Linked DNA regions of Sus scrofa. The protein of the gene in region 1 purifies or fractionates together with the protein of each later gene. This does not show direct contact. Links are inferred from orthologs where the notes say so. Each region holds a gene or a part of one and is shown in the gene's direction. Other genes may lie near its edges.

Region 1 (3,512 bases):
AGAAGTCATTTCTCAGAGACTAGAACAGGCAAGCTGGGATTTGAAACTGGATCTTCTGATTCTAGATCCTGAGTTCTTTCTGCTGTAGTTGTGCTGCTGGCTTCCATAGTCAGCTCATAGGTGGCTTACTCTTCTCTGAGGGCTCACCATTGCCTTTGGGATGAAGACTGACTTGGGCAGGAAGGCAAGGCTCTGGCCTCATGCTCAGATGCTCCCCTTTGCTGCTGCTTTGGGGCCACTTCCTGTGTTTTAAAGAGGGAGGAGGCCAAGGAAAGTTAGGGATAGATGGGAACGAGAGTAGCTGCTTTGTTTGGTATGCTCAAATGCTGTTACTTTTATTTTCCTTATTATGTGATATATGACTACACAAAAGTCCATATGTAAAATCTCTGTGAGTTATTAGTCATCAGTAATCATTCATTTGTGAGCCCATCACCAAGAATTAAATTGTGATCTGGAGTTCCTGATGTGGCCAAGGGGGTTAAGCACCCGAACAGTCTCTGTGAGGATGCAGGTTTGATTCCTGACCTTGCTCAGTGGGTTAAGGGTTTGGTGTTGCTGCAAGTTGTGGTGTAGGTCTCAGACGCTTCAGAGTCTGCATGGCTGTGGCTCTGGTGTAGGCTGGCAGCTGCAGCTCTGATTTGACCCTTCGCCTGGGAATGTTCGTTTAAAAAGAAAAAAATGAAGCTGTTAATTAACTCTGTTGAAGTTCCGTGTGTGCCCTTCACCTTTCTCGGGGGGAGGAGGGTTAGGGTGATTTCCACCTGCCCCCTCACCTGCTGGTTCTCTCACTTCCTCTGGAAAAGGCTGTTGGGGCGGGGCTTCCACCCCGGGACTGCTGAGGTGATGCTGGCTTGCCCCTTGGCCTCATTCCAGCATCAGACACTCTTCCCCGTCTGCAGGCGAAGCTCTTGACACTGCCCTGCTCTCCATCCCTTGCAGGTCAGGCGGGGAAGCTGATGTATGTGATGCACAATTCTGAGCACCCTTTGAGCTGCTTCGCCCTCTTTGAGAACGGCCCCTGCCTGATCGCCGACACCAACTTTGATGTGCTTATGGTAAAACTCAAGGGCTTTTTCCAGAGCGCCAAAGCCAGCAAGATTGAGACCCGGGGCACCCGTTACCAGTACTGTGATTTCCTCGTGAAGGTGGGCACGGTCACGATGGGGCCCAGTGCCCGGGGCATCTCTGTGGAGGTAAGACCTCGGTGAACTAGGAGCAGGGGTGCCGAGAGGACTGGCTCTGCCAATTTTCAGGGGCCCTGAGTACAGCCTGAGGTTCCTGCCTCCCTGGTTCCTGCCCGCAGAGCAGGAGCTGCTCCCTGCTCTCCCTGCATCTTCTACCTGTTCTTTAATCACTCGGGGACTTTCTAGCCCAGGATGGCAATGGGAAGCTCAGTCCTCAGCGGGTAGGAAGCTTAGGAAGGCCAGCTTGCTGCAGGGGGAGGGATGGTCGGGGGCAGGTGAATCATGGAAGAGCAGTCACCCAGCACCAGAAGGACTGGAGCAGACCAGGGCGGCTTTCCGTGCAGTCCACTCTGGGAGGCAGGCCCTGAATCATGTGTCCACACACCTCCCCTCAGCATGCCTTAAGATGGTCTCCAGAGTTCCAAAGCAAGAATGAGCCTTTCCTTTTGCCACACTGTCCACTTCCTTTCTCAGTGGAAAGGGGTGTGTGTAGTGACTTCATCTTTGCGGCATATATTGAAAATGGCAAAGAGAGAGTGTGGCAGCAGCTGGCTTTGGGAACAGTGAGAGCTTGCCATCTACCATGGTCCTAGCACTGTGTGAGGTAGGAAATTAAGTAAGCGACAGAGCCTGCCTTTTGGAAATTTATGACTTATCTGATAGCACTTAGATCTGGAATCTAATATACAGCACAAATGAACCTTTCTACAGAAAAGAAAATCATGGACTTGGAGAACAGACTTGTGGTTGCCAAGGGGTAGGCCGAGGGAGTGGGATGGACTGGGAATCTGGGGTTAATAGATACAAACTGTTGTCTTTGGAATGGATAAGCAATGAGATCCTGCTGTATAGCCCTGGGAACTATATCTGGTAGCTTATGATGGAGCATGATAATATGAGAAAAAAGGATATATGTACGTATGTGTGACTGGGTCACCTTGCTGTACAGTAGAAAATTGACAGAACACTGTAAACCAACTATAATGGAAAACAATAAAAATCTTTAAATAAAAAAAATTTTTTTAATGAAAGTTTATAATTTAGTAAGAGCAAAGTCCAAACACTCAAACTGATTTGGAAGTTCATCTATAAGAAGTGCTGTAAAAGAGACACAGGCTGCCCTGGGAATTCTGGCCAAAGAGAGGGCTAACGACTTTGGGGATTGGGGCGCCTCTTGCAGAAGGAGCACCTAAGTGGGGGCCTTAAAATGTGGAGATACAGGGATAGGAAAATCCTAAAAAGCGTCCCAGGTGGAGCAAAGGGCATGAGTGGTGATCATTGGGTGATACTCCAGGACCTCTAGGGCCAAGATTTCCTGACCGTTTTCATTTGCAACTCACCCTGCATTTGTCAGGACCCGCTGGGAGCCTGCTCTTTCTCTTCCACGTTCCCAACTTCGTAGTACAAACACATCCCAGCTGTTTCTTTACTTATTTCTTCTTACGGTGACCATAATTTCCCCTGCCATCTCTCCAGTGAACAATTAGGAGAGAAGGAGAAAGCCTTTGGCCCCTATCCCGTGGCTTGGGAGACCATTTCTTTGGGTCAGAGCCCAGGCTGGCTGTACCCTGGAGTAATATTTGGTCTTGAAGTGGCTTATGAGTGTATGTGTCTACTTTGCCCCCAGTATGCATACGTGCTCTTTCCCCTGAATTTGGTTTTCTCTCTCAGAATTTTCCTGAGCTCTCCATGAATCTTTATGCATCCTGGCCGGGGCTGTATAGTTCTGAGATAATTAAAAGGGGCCTAGATCTGCCCTTGGGTCTTGTGGGTAGGGCTGTGGGTTGGTAACCCCAAGCTGCAAATGTCTGAGCCTAAAGGGAATGGTGCTGGTGTGTCGAATCCCTGGGGGTTGGGTTGGCGGTTTCCTGCGGGGCAGCGCTGTGCAGGTGTGCGTCTTTGGCCCATAGTCTGAAAAGGTGGGAGCAGAGGCAAGAGCTGCCTGAGAAGCAGATGACCTGTCCCTGCTCTCCTCACCCTCCGTCTTTCTTCCGGCCCCAGGTGGAGTATGGCCCCTGTGTGGTAGCTAGCGACTGCTGGAGCCTGCTGCTTGAGTTCCTGCAGAGTTTTCTGGGCAGCCACACCCCAGGGGCTCCTGCAGTGTTTGGGAACAGACACGACGCAGTCTACAGCCCAGCAGACACCATGGTCCAGTACATGGAACTCTTCAACAAGATCCGCAAGCAGCAGCAGGTGCCGGTGGCGGGGATTCGATAGTGACTGGCCGCCTGGCTGAGCTCTGTCGCCAGGGGAACTCCACCAGAGGAGCAGGTGCTGCCCCCTCAGGCCCTGAGACCCCGGAAGCCCAGGGCAGACAGGGAGGTG
Region 2 (3,960 bases), on another chromosome or scaffold:
ATAAATAAATGAACCCCCTCCCCATCCAGTTTTCCAAGTTTCTTCCAAAACCTAGCAGGCAAGTCACTCTTAACTTTCCTTACCACATTAGGTAGAATTGACTATTTCCTCCTCTTGTGCTTTCACTGAATGTGGTATGTTAAGTCCTATCATAGCACCAATGATTTTTAAGATTGTATCCCAAGCATCTGATACGTTTTAGGCACGCAATAATGAACCAACATTCACCTTAAGGAGATTTAAACATTCTAGGAAAACGTCACTGTTAGGCATAAACCTTAAGACACTCTTTACAATCCAATACAAATGATTGTTTTTAAATTGCTGCATCCTGCAGGCACTTTAATAGTCCTCAGACAGTTGGCCAAAAGCTTGGCTACGGGAATCACTTATGTTAGGAGAAGACTACGACTAGAGCGCCAAGGATGATTGGCTGCTAGGACCTTTAAGTTACAGGTTTTCAGGCCGACGCCGACGGTAGAACCAGGAAACCGCTAAAAGTTCAGTTTTTGAAATACGGTTTTTGCACCGCAAAGAAAAAAGATTAACCTATCAGAAAGAACCTAGCACATCCAATTACCAATCAAGAGCCGGAAAGAAGCCAAAGCAGGGATACCCACGCACCAACGAGGACGTCATTCTTAAGTCTCCGCCAATGAGCTGTTGGATGCGGGACGGGGCGGGAGGCGGACCAACTGCCACCAAAAACAAACAACAATCTGCAGTACAACTGCTCTCACCACAGTCCTCGTCTAGCAAACCACTGGAGGAAACTCGTGGGCAAAGCCCTTGTTAAATACTTTCCACTCTCCTCCTCTCCTGGGGGCAGTTATAATAGAGTACCTTCCTTACACCAGAAAAAGGACCTTCTTTCCACCAGCTTCCACAGACTCGCAGAAAGCACACTGCAAGTTTGCACTTTCTACCTTCACAGGAACTAGCAGTCCAAAGCTACCTGAGGGGGGAGGGGCGGCCTCAGTGCGCAAGCGTGCATGTCTTGTAGAGGCGGGGCTGTAGCGGCCCAAGGTAACCTGGGTATTGTATTTCATTCTACCGCATCACTCAACTGTTCCTGAGGTTTATGGAACTACATTTCCCAGGAGTCTCCGCGGCCTCGGGGGCGGGAGGGATGGTTCGTTAATGAGCTCGAGGAAGCCGCGGCGCGGCCCACCAGGTTCCAAAACAAGGAAATGAAGGGGGAGGCGGGACTGAGGGTGCCTGTAGGAGCCGCAGCCGCCGCCGCTGCCGCCGCCGCCGCCGCCGCCGCAGAGGAGGAGGAGGTGGAGGAGGTGGCCGCCGTGGCCGCCGAGGAGTCCCTTGCTGAAGGCGGACTGCCGGGCGGCGGGCGGCGCGCGCGCGCCCCAGAGGCGGTTGTTGGAGAAGTGGAGCGGCGGTCGCGGGGGGGAGGAGGAGGAGGAGGAGGGACTGAGTGGCGGCGGCCCCCGCGTCCCGGTGCCTCTATGGGGAAAGCAGACAATGGATTATGATTTCAAGGCGAAGCTGGCGGCGGAGCGGGAGCGGGTGGAGGATTTGTTTGAGTACGAAGGGTGCAAAGTGGGACGCGGCACCTACGGGCACGTCTACAAGGCGAGGCGAAAAGATGGGTAAGAGCAGGGGCGGGGGGAGTAGGCTCGTTCGGGTCCTCGCCCTGCCCGCGACCGCGCGGGATGGGTGGGTCGGAGCCCGGACGGGCCAAGCCCGGGGGGCGAGGCGGACGTGGTCCCGGGGCCGCGTCCCGAGGCGGACTCTGAGGGACACGGGTTCTGCCCGCTCGCGCGGGCCCCGTCGCGCCCCTCAAACTCCTGCGGCGCAGCCCCGTCGCGGGGTGTCGGTTTCGTCCCGGAGGGCACCCTCCGCGTGCATGGAACTGGCGGCGGGACTCGAGTTGGGACCTCGGTTGGATGTGGAGTTTGTGGGGCTTTGGTCTCCGGGGGAGACGCAGAGGTCTGGGAGAGCCTTGCGGAGGAGTTGCCGCTCTGGCCCTCGGTTGGTGACGGTCGTGGTGGAACTTCCAATCGGCTGAGCGCCTCCCGGGGGCGGAGGTTTGAAACCTCGCCGAGGTCTCCGTCGGGCTGCCGAGTGCCTGGGTCCTCGCCAGCCTCACGGGTCTGAGCCGTTGGGCACCTTTTCCCTGGGGGCGAGCCAGCGCTCTGGCCCCTCCGCGCAGTCCCTTCAGTCCCTGTGGAAAACCCGGCCACTTCTCCACCTCGCTTCGCCCACCTCCGATCTTGCTTTCTCACATTCTCCATTCCGCACCTTCCCTTGAATGTAGACCTTCTGAGAGACCAACCAGGTTTTGCCCGCAGAACTTAAGAGTTCGGTGTGGTAACCCATCCCATCCTCCAGCAGCCTCCCCTTGGGTATTCTTAGGTTCTCCACTCCATCCTCTGCCAAGTGGCTGCGTGCTGCGGTTTATTGGGCACCTAGATTACCCATAACGGAATTCAAGTGGCACGGAGTTGGGCCAGAACCCTTGTTTTCCTTGGACTTGAAAGAAAATCATAGGAAGCCCGTCCTGATTGTTCTCTTAGGAGGGCACAGGGCTCTCCAGTACAGGTGGAACCAGCTCCCTGCCTGAGAAGGGTAGGTTTAAACAAGTCATCACCGCAGGGCCCATCCTGGCAGAAATTCCACTTCCCCAGAGTTAGGGAGCCGGGGAACATCTGCCTGTCCCACTTAGTGTTTGAAGACGATCAAAGTGTGGAAGAGAGGTTTTAGGATCATAGCGAAAAATTGCTGAATGAACAGAGTATCCGTCACCGTGACGTTAGTTAAGATCTGAAGTGCTGCTTATCGTTCTTCCACACTCTGTTGTAATTGATAAGGTTGATTGATGAACTCTAGGACCAAAGTAGGTAGGGGATGTGTACGTGTGTGCACTAATTTTATACAGGGAACGAGAAAGCACAACTTTATAAACTGGTTTATCATAAAGTATGGTGAAAACTGCAAAGTACTTAACATTGTAAAGGGTTGTTATTATTGCATATAATTTTTTCCTCTTGTTATAACTGAACGGGTCCCCTAGAATTCAGTTGTTTGTAAACCTTTCTCATGATTCTTTTAGTTAATTGCCATATGTCCCTGCTTGAGTATCTTGGAATGTGAAGTACTATAATTAAGTTGTATTTTGTTTTTGGAATATCCACTCTCCTTGTTATACTGGTGTCTCTCTGGGAATCTTATCAGATACATTTGGGGAAAGCACATCTAGCTTTACTATTTGGACGTTGACACTGTAAAACAAATCAGAAGTGTTCTTCATCCTCCTCACACTAACTTTGTAATGTACTTGGCCTGGAATTTTAAAAAAATGTACTTTAATTTTGTTGTTAAAATAGCTTTTTTTTAAGGCAGCTTTTGAGAAAAGTTAAAAATTCTACTTATGAATTGTATTTGAATAGCATGAGCTACAACAAAAATCAGATAATTTAAATCCTGCTTCTCTTTGTTCTTTTTGAATATTTTCCCCTCTAATAAAATTCTTGATTTGAATACACTTTTTTTCCTTGAGTGAAATTTGTTTGATTAGAATTAATAAAGCCCTAGTAAAGATCAGTTTGGATATCTTCAAAATATTATGCTTTAAAAAGACTTTTTCAAATCTGAAAGCATTACTTTTTTTTGGCTGTGCTCCTGGCATGTGGAAATTCCTGGGTCAGGGATGGAACCTGTGCCACAGTTTCAACCTGCACCACAGCTGGATCTGGTAACACGGAATCCTTAACCCACTGTGCCACAAGGGACCTTCCTGAAAGCATTACTTTAAATCACTAAATTATGTGTGAGAAAAATCAGTGTAAAGATTTTTGTCTTGAACCAAGAGTTTAGTTGAGATTTGAGGCTTTAAACACCCACATGTCTTGTGGGTGGGTAGCAGGATTAGTTTTATGTTCATTGATACCATTGATTTGAAAGAACAGAAATCTTTTAGTGATGGCTCTAAATTGTGATACACAT
Region 3 (4,207 bases), on another chromosome or scaffold:
GGTGGAGAGCTCTGGTGGAAACCGTAGCAACTGGGAACAGTAAAATGGATAAAAATATAAAACGAAAAAACAGACGTCTAAATCAGAGAGAGAAAATGAGAGATGATTATCAAGCCTTCAGGACTCCTTCAGCCACAACTTTCCTACCTTAAACTTATTGACAAACGGTTTCCATGGATTTAGACCCACTGCTGTAATCTGGCTAAAAACCGCTGTTCTTGTAGGCAGTGGTGCAGAAGGCTGTCCTCAAAATAATGTCACCTCTGAAAGGATGGGACGCATTTGGACGGTCATCTGTCACCAGAGCGACACTCTTTGGGAGCGGCGTGGCCACTCCTTCTTGACTCACTTTTACTGCTGTCTGCAATGTGTGTCAGCACGTCGCTCATTGTGCAGCCCGTAGGAGACTGGGAACGACGAGCACACATTTAAGTGACAGCCGGTGAGCTGTGGACCAATACCCAAGAGTTTTTTCGATAATGATCATGCCCTTTAAACTCTAGAGTTCGGAAGTGGGATACAGCGTGATTCTAATACAGACTAGCCTTCCTCACACTGGAATTTCCTTGGTTAATTCCCCACCCCCCAAATCAGACTCTGGCTCAGAGTCTGATTTTTCCGTCGCTGTAAAAAAATTTTTTTCTCCCCAAGTGGCTGCAACGACTCCCCTCCCTTGGACTACTAATCCCATCATGCAACGCTCCGACATCGCCACTGTGGGGGGGGGGGGTGGAGCCGCAGGAGCGGCGGCCACGGCGGCGGCCGGTGCATTCTGGGCCCTGTAGTCTGGCGCTCCGGCCACCGCCGGGACGGCCCACGTTGTGCGTGGGGCAGCAGCTCCGGGCAGCGGTTACCGCGCCTGGGCCGCGCGGCCCCCGGGGAGCGGTCTCCGGCTGGGGCTGCGGGCCGGCCGGCGCGGGGCGCGCTGCGCGGGGCGCCGAGCCGCCCGAGGCTTCGCGACGTTTTGCGACAGCGCGGCCGTGTTCCGCGAGTCCCCTCCCTCCGCTCGCTGAGGAGGTACCGGCTGTTGTGCGGCGCTGCCTTTCTGTTTGAGTGTATGGGAGAGCGAGCGGGCTAGTGAGTGAGTGCGAGCGTGTGTGAGCGCGGCGAGGCGCGAGCGCAAGCGCCAGAGGGGAGCCCGCCGCGCCGCCCCGCCGCTCCCCGCCGCGGGGGCAGAGCGCGCGGCCGGAGCCAGGGGCCGGCGCCCCGGGAGCCCGCGGGGACAAGGGCAGCGACAGCGCTCCCCACCCCCAGCCTCGTCGCTCGCTCTCTGCGCCGGGGACCTCGCCGTCCCCCCCCGGCCGGCCCCTGCCCGCCGCCCCCCTGGATGTCCCCGGCGCCCTCGCGGGGCCGCCTCCTGCTCCTGCCGCCGCGGTCGGGCCGGCGCTGCGGCCGCCGGGCGTAGCGCGGGCGGGTTCCCGGGGGCCGCGGCTGCCGGAGCTTCGCCGGTCCCCACCCCTGCCCCCCGGCGCCCCGGCCCCGCTCCCCGGCCTCGCAGGCTGTGACAATGGACTATGACTTTAAAGTGAAGCTGAGCAGCGAGCGGGAGCGGGTCGAGGACCTGTTTGAATACGAGGGCTGCAAAGTTGGCCGAGGCACTTACGGGCACGTCTACAAAGCCAAGAGGAAGGATGGGTGAGTGTCCGCGTCGCGCCGGCGGCGGCGCCGGGGCAGGTGGTCAGCCTCCTGCCGGCCGGGCTCGGGAGGAAGTGGACCGCGGGGGACCCTGCGCGCTGCTGCCCTGGGCTCTCCTGGCGCGGCTGCTCGGGAAGAGCAGCGTCTACTCCCCGGGCCGTGTACTTTGCAGGGCTTTCGGCCCGGGGTTTCCTTACATTTTCCTCGGATGTGTCAGTTTAAGTGATCTTTAGGGGGCTCGGTCTATCATGGTAACCTTCCGGGGCTTTGCTCATCCGCCTCTGGAGTGACATCCAGCCGTCTGGATGGGAAGCTGGGATCCTCTCCCCCACCAGCTTGTGACTGATTTACGATCTCATTTGGATTTTATTGGGGTGGGGGAAGAGAAGGCAAAGCAGCAAGTCGGTGTGGTTCTCCAGAGTTCCTTCTCCTGATCACCTGCCCCAGAAATGTGGCAGTTGCGATTTAGATACCGTGAGCTGTGAGTTTTACGTAGAACAATGGGGGTTTGGTGCCGGGTGGGTGGTGGGGAAAAAGGCGAGTGATGAGGGGTATCTCGTTCAGGCCGTTCCCCCCCACCCAATTGAGCAGTTGGCAGTGAACTTTCTCTTTGCTTTAAATATTCTTCCCTAGAAATAACTTAAGTCTATGACTGGTAATGCTCCCAATTTAGTTTCCTAAACAGGCAAGTGAAATGTTCATTTTTCCTTTGTCAGTCGATGGATGTCTTGTAATATTGACAAAAGAGAAGGCATTTCTTAGTTGAGAAAATATATTTTTTAAACTCCTTGTTTTCCTCTTGTAAAAACGAATGTTGTCTTTATTGCCTTGGACATTATAGAAAATTGCTGGAAAGATAATGTCCAAGCTTATTACATGATCTTTAGATTTTATTATAAACAAAGTGATTTTATTTGCGCTTCACTGGTGTTTTGATTAGCTGCTGTTCAACGTTTAAAATAATTGCTTTCCCCCCAAATTAGATAGGAAGGTATGTTCAGAACTACATTAGCGCTAAAAAAATGACACCATTCCTAAAGCTGAAGTTACCTGAGATGAGAGGGAGGCCATATTTATAAATACTTGGTATCCTGAATATGGGAAAAGGAAGTATATATTTATTCAACTTTTTCCTTAGATTTCCTGAGATATCTTTCTAAAATAACTTAGAATGGACTCTAACAGGAAGAAGACAGTAGTTCTCATTTATTTGGATTGTGCAGTTCAGGGCTTCAGTGCAGCAGGAAAGCAGTACCGGTATCTGCCAAAGGTAGGGATTGGAAAACTTGATACTTGGGGTGCCTCGTGTATTTAAAAGTACTTTTTAGCAGAAGGATAGTCTGGTGACATTTGAGAAATCAGTGTCTGGAGATAGTGTTGACTGTGTAGTTTAATTATATTCCTCATTGAAATATTACTCTCTAGTAGCATACCTGTTTTAAAAATTATCCTTATTAACTTCTCATATAAGATTTTTCAGAAGTCTTAAGGCATCTCCCTGTCCCCCCCAATATTATGTAATTTGGGACGTATAAAATCCGTGATCCCGTGAGCTTAGACATTGTAGTATATTTGACCCATCTGTCATCTGTATTATGAAATTCTGGTGACTTTAAATTTTTTTGATCTGAGAAAAGCTAGTTCTGTTTTCATAAATGACCAGTTTAAGCTAATAAGACATGTAAATTATATTGACTTTGATTTTATATTAAAAAACTATAATACTGTTTACTGGCAAGAGGTACTTTTGACCACATTTTATATCTCATGGTCAAGTTTTAATGTAGGCCGAGAATAATTTTAGAATTATACAATTTTAAAACAGCTGGATGTATAGTATATGAACATTTCTTAGTCATTCATGATAGGCAAAAAATAGCATTGCATTTTGGAAAAATTAACTTTTTGTTTATAATTCTTTGGGCTTGTTTTCCAGCAGCCTTTAATGATTTTGTTTATAGGAAGAACTTCTTTTTTTTTTTAATGGATCAAATGTCAAGAGAGTTTTAAAATTACTTAAAATGGTGTTTGTGTTCCAGAGGGAATATTTTTTGGTTTGGCTTCTTATAACCTCACTCTGGTAAAACGCAGCATTGTATTTATGAGGTTCTTTTGATCTTATGTCAGTGAAATGTAATTTAATGCATTTTAGTCCTGGTAAAATAAAATTTGTGGCTGTTTAATCTTTCATAAAAAGATGATTAAATAATTTGTTTCAAGTATTGATTTACTTTCAAATGAAATCATATGTTCTGCAACTGAAATTTCAGAGAGCTCTAGGAACCCAGACAGTAACACCTTCAAAAAGACTGAGATTTACAGTAAAATGAAGTAAATTTTGTTTAGAGGTGTTTGGCTGTTAAAATGAATGTATGTAAACGTATTCCTTCACTTGTCCAGCGAGCATCACAGGCATGAGTAATTAGTAAAGGAATTTAGACCAGAGCAGTTGGCTTCTTAAACTGCGGTTTTAGGAAGAAATAAAACAGCTCGAAAGGTCATTCCTTTGATATTAAGAATTCGAAATACCCTACTGCTGTCCTCTGCTTTTGATAAACCTGGCGTTTTAAGG
Region 4 (4,006 bases), on another chromosome or scaffold:
CGGTACAGCCTCCGTACCTCCCCAGAGGACTCCAGGCACGGAAGCCCCTTCAGTGCCTCTGGTCCTCCTTCCGGTTCTCCACCAGGACCCTGGCACTTCCTTTGGGCGGAGAGGCCCCTGGGCAGCAGTCCTCACCTCCCCCTCCATGCGCTCCCTCAGGGGTTCTCTGGGTAGTTCTTACAAGAAAGCAGTGTTGAGGCCCAAAGCACCCACTCCAAGCCTCCCCAGGACTTGCCTTCACAGACCCCTCTGGATGCATCTAGAAATATTTGCAGTGACGTTTTCCTTAGGACGGCCGCCTTGCTCTTCAATGCTGCTTCTCATCTTGGCACCTGACTGCAGTCTCCTTGTGTCTCTAAAGCTCTGAGGAAGGGCAGGGCTTCCACTCACCAGCGAAGCTCAGAACGTGTGTTCTCATCGCCCAGGAATTTATTACACAGCCAGGGAGGACTTGTCTTGAGGAGCATAACCACAAACCCACCAGAGTTCCCCTGGCTTTGGCCTGAGATCCCAGGGAGTGAGTGCCCCTGCAAACGCGAGCTTGGAGGCCGGCCACGTGTGGGAAGGTGGGAAGCAGTTTAGGCTCCTGAACTATATAAGGCTTTTGGGGTGAGGACGCTGAGCCCTGGAGGCTTAAGGAGCTGGGGCCCACAGGTGAGGAGAGTACGTGCCGCTGACTTCTCCTAGGACATGTTTATTCCTGGCACTAACCCCCTTCAGCCTCGTGTGGAAGTTGGGACAACTCCCACCCCTCCCCGCAGGCAGTACAGCAGTCATGGAGAAGATGCATATTAAGTATTGACTTAGTTCGTCGCAGCTTCTTTGTTCCTGCGTCCTTAGGGCGGGCGCAGGGCCTCTCCCCTGAAGGCCTCTGCGCGGGTGGGAACCGTGGGTCCCTCCGCCGGGATTCTCTCCACGCCCGCTGGCCCAGGGCCTGACCCCAGCAGGTGCTGGGCAGGGGCCTCCGCTCTTCAAGAGGCCTTATTTATCTCAAGTCTTCCGCACTTGTTGATTTTGGATCCTCTTTGTAACGCGAATAGGAATAAAATGTTATTTCTGACATATATCTATTTCTATTAACAATTTAGCTGCCTCAACGCACAACCCAAAGCAGGGCACCCTAGCCCGGCCGGCCGCCCGTTGCCTAGTAACGGACGCCCAGGCCCCGCCCCGCGTCCCCGGGCGCGCGCTCCCAGCCTCCCTCTGGGTCCCGCCCCGCGGCGCACGGTGGTGACGTGCAGAGTCCGCGACGCGTTCGGCGCGCTGAGCCGCGGCCCAGCCGACCCGCCGCGGAAACGCGGGGCGCCATGGCTTCAGTGGGGGTGCCCGCCGGCCGGCAGGCCGAGGATGCCCTGCCGCCGCCAACCGAGCCGCCGATGCCCGAAACGAAACCGCTGCCGACGCCGCAGCTGCCGACGCCGGTCTCCGCGCCGCAGCCGCAGCCCGCGCCGAGGCCTCCGTCCCCGGCCGTCGTGAAGGCGGAGGAGAACTGCTCCTTCCTCCCGCTGGTTCACAACGTCATCAAGTGGTAAGAGCCCGGGGTGCCCGCGAGTGCGCCCCCGCTGTCCGTCGCGGGCCGAGCTCCGGGGCGCCGCCGGTCCCGGGGAGGCGGCCTCGCGAAGACCACCGCGAGCCTCCCCCCGAGTTGAGCGGACGCTGAGCTCAGGGCTGCCAGGCCCCGTGCTGGCCGGGCGGAGTCCTCGAAACGAAGCCGACCTGGACACCACGTGCACAGGTGCAGCGTCCCTGTGGCCGGAGCCAGCCAGGCTTCTCGGGGCTGTTTTCTCACACGTAATGAAGGACAGAACGCTCGCTTCGGTGTCTTTTCCAGCAGATGTGGGTCATGTTTCGCGGGTGGCACACTGCTAAGCGCCAGGGGATGTACACTTGAAAGGGCATACGGTTCACGCCCACGTTGCTCACCAGTTAGAAGGAACAGAGTCGTGAACGGGAATAACCCATAACGCGAAGAGATTCTAGGGGTGATGATAAGGCCATGGCAGGGAATGGCCGCTAGACAGCCCGTCGCACTCACAGTTCCCAACAGGATGCCGCAGGGGTGATGTCTCCTTTAGGCCGGTCTTCAGGGGACCCGGTTTTTCAGACTGACCCTTAAAGAGGGGGGAAAACCCCACCAAAATCGCCAGGGTCCCCACATTTGCCCAAATGGTTTTTACTGTTATTTATGTCCCCATGGTAACAAGGTGTAAACCCCTCAGCTTATCACGTCTGTTTAGCCATTAAAACCCAAAACAAAGCAAATTAAAACAATGTTCCTTCTGCTCTAACACTCAGGTGGACCTCAGCATCCTCTTGGATGTTTTGCTGAAATGAAATTGCCGCTCACAACAGTGAAGTGTTGTCAGTGGCCCAGCTTGTTTTGAGTTTAGGTGGAAGAGAGTCACTGCCTGGGACGCTCTGACGCTTCCACCACTTTTCAGACAACTGCAAAGCCTTTTTTTTTCTCACATTAGAACTTGGCTTCGTTTGGTGTGAACATACTGTTTATCTGGTGAGGCCGACTCTTCTCGTGAGCCTGTGATCAGCAAGTAGCACTCGTAGGCAGCAGTGACATAGGAAACCCAACCCACCTGCACGCCCTGCAGTCCCAGGGCGGTGCTGGGTTGGAAGGGCGTTGTCCAGATGAACCCAGATTTATCTGTTCTGGTTTTTGGAAAATTAAAACACACAGTGTACACACTCTGGCATCCTGATAGGACCCTCGGGTTGGGCTGGCCTTAAAGACGGATCCTTGAGGTGCACTAGAGAGAGCATGGGCTGCGAGGTGAGATGGTCTCTCTCTCTTTTTTTTTTTTCTTTTTAGGGCCACACCCGTGGCATATGGAGGTTCCCAGGCTAGGTGTCCAATCGGAGTTACAGCCGCCGGCCTACACCACAGCCACAGCAACTCAGGATCTGCGCCGCATCTGTAACCTACACCGCAGCTCACGGCACAGATCCTTAACCCACTGAGCGAGGCCAGTGGGTTTCTCGTCGGATTCGTTTCCGCTGTGCCACGGTGGGAACTCCGAGATGAGATAGTCTTAATGCTTGCTTGCCTTGTAATCTTGGTAAATACAGAGCCTTTCTAGGCCGTAATTTTTCGTGTCGCTAAGAGGTGAATAATAGCAATGAACCTCAGAGGAGGGCTTCCGAGGTAGCTTTGTAGTGTGCTGGTGGGGCGGCCTCGGTCAAACGGCCTCTCTGAATCTTTTTCTCTCGTGAACCGGGAGCAATAACACCGAAATCGTAAGGTTGTTGTGGGGTGTTCTCAAGAACATTCTGTGAAAGACATTGTGTCCGTCCCGTGTGTGACCTGCTCTGTCCCCTCTGAGTGGACAGTGAGGAGTGTCTTTTAAGCGTAAAACTGAAAAGGACACGAGAGGGGATGATTGCCGTAGGGGGGGGCCGGGGGCTAGTCCACCTCCCAGCCCGAGGAAGCGGCCGGGAGCAGCTGCCTCTGGCCGCGGCCCCTTCCGGATCTCAGGAGGCGGCAGGGCCAAGGGCCTCCGGTGAGAGGTGATTGAGGGTGACGGGACTGAGGATGGGAGGGCTGCTTGGACGGCTGTTTAGGAGCGGATCCCCTGAGTCCTCTCGAGACCCCAGGCCCACAGGTGGTCCCCCTTCTGTCTCGGTGGATAATTAAAGGCTCACACTTTCCCAAGGTTTGTTTTTAGGAAAGAATAATGCACAGGGTCTCTGGAGGGGGGACACTTGCCCATTTCGGGAGCTGGAGGGAGAGGCCAACCTAAGAAGAGCGCTTGAGAGCAAGTCCTCAGACAGACCCGAGACCCAGCCCCGGCTTCTAGATTGACAGGCTGTCTGACCTGACACCCCAGAGACGTGGGGGCTCCCCAGGAAAGAAGCTGGTTCATCCTGAGAAGGCGGTACATCACTCACGCAGTGTCCGCTCAGCCTTTTCACTTAAAAAAAATATATGTTCCCCAGTATTTATTTATGGCCTGCTTTTTACTAATGGAGCATAAAGTAATTGTATCTTCTCTCG

Evidence for each region. The genes of interacting proteins can lie anywhere in the genome.
Region 2: the proteins of MED20 (region 1) and CDK19 purify together in Homo sapiens (affinity purification with mass spectrometry; 5 studies listed by BioGRID and IntAct, counting the BioPlex papers as one, with this or other methods). This does not show direct contact. The link is inferred for Sus scrofa from reciprocal best matches to the Homo sapiens genes MED20 and CDK19.
Region 3: the proteins of MED20 (region 1) and CDK8 purify together in Homo sapiens (affinity purification with mass spectrometry; 8 studies listed by BioGRID and IntAct, counting the BioPlex papers as one, with this or other methods). This does not show direct contact. The link is inferred for Sus scrofa from reciprocal best matches to the Homo sapiens genes MED20 and CDK8.
Region 4: the proteins of MED20 (region 1) and MED9 purify together in Homo sapiens (affinity purification with mass spectrometry; 6 studies listed by BioGRID and IntAct, with this or other methods). This does not show direct contact. The link is inferred for Sus scrofa from reciprocal best matches to the Homo sapiens genes MED20 and MED9.

What each region holds. Positions count from the first base shown.
Region 1 is NC_010449.5:37,064,148-37,067,659, reverse strand, and holds part of MED20 (mediator of RNA polymerase II transcription subunit 20), read left to right. Parts: intron 1-942; coding exon 943-1,196; intron 1,197-3,188; coding exon 3,189-3,404; 3' UTR 3,405-3,512. UniProt on the Homo sapiens protein: Component of the Mediator complex, a coactivator involved in the regulated transcription of nearly all RNA polymerase II-dependent genes.
Region 2 is NC_010443.5:76,790,677-76,794,636, reverse strand, and holds the start of CDK19 (cyclin-dependent kinase 19), read left to right. Parts: upstream 1-1,160; 5' UTR 1,161-1,476; coding exon 1,477-1,604; intron 1,605-3,960.
Region 3 is NC_010453.5:4,053,035-4,057,241, forward strand, and holds the start of CDK8 (cyclin-dependent kinase 8), read left to right. Parts: upstream 1-1,407; 5' UTR 1,408-1,507; coding exon 1,508-1,635; intron 1,636-4,207.
Region 4 is NC_010454.4:60,931,200-60,935,205, reverse strand, and holds the start of MED9 (mediator of RNA polymerase II transcription subunit 9), read left to right. Parts: upstream 1-1,206; 5' UTR 1,207-1,307; coding exon 1,308-1,528; intron 1,529-4,006.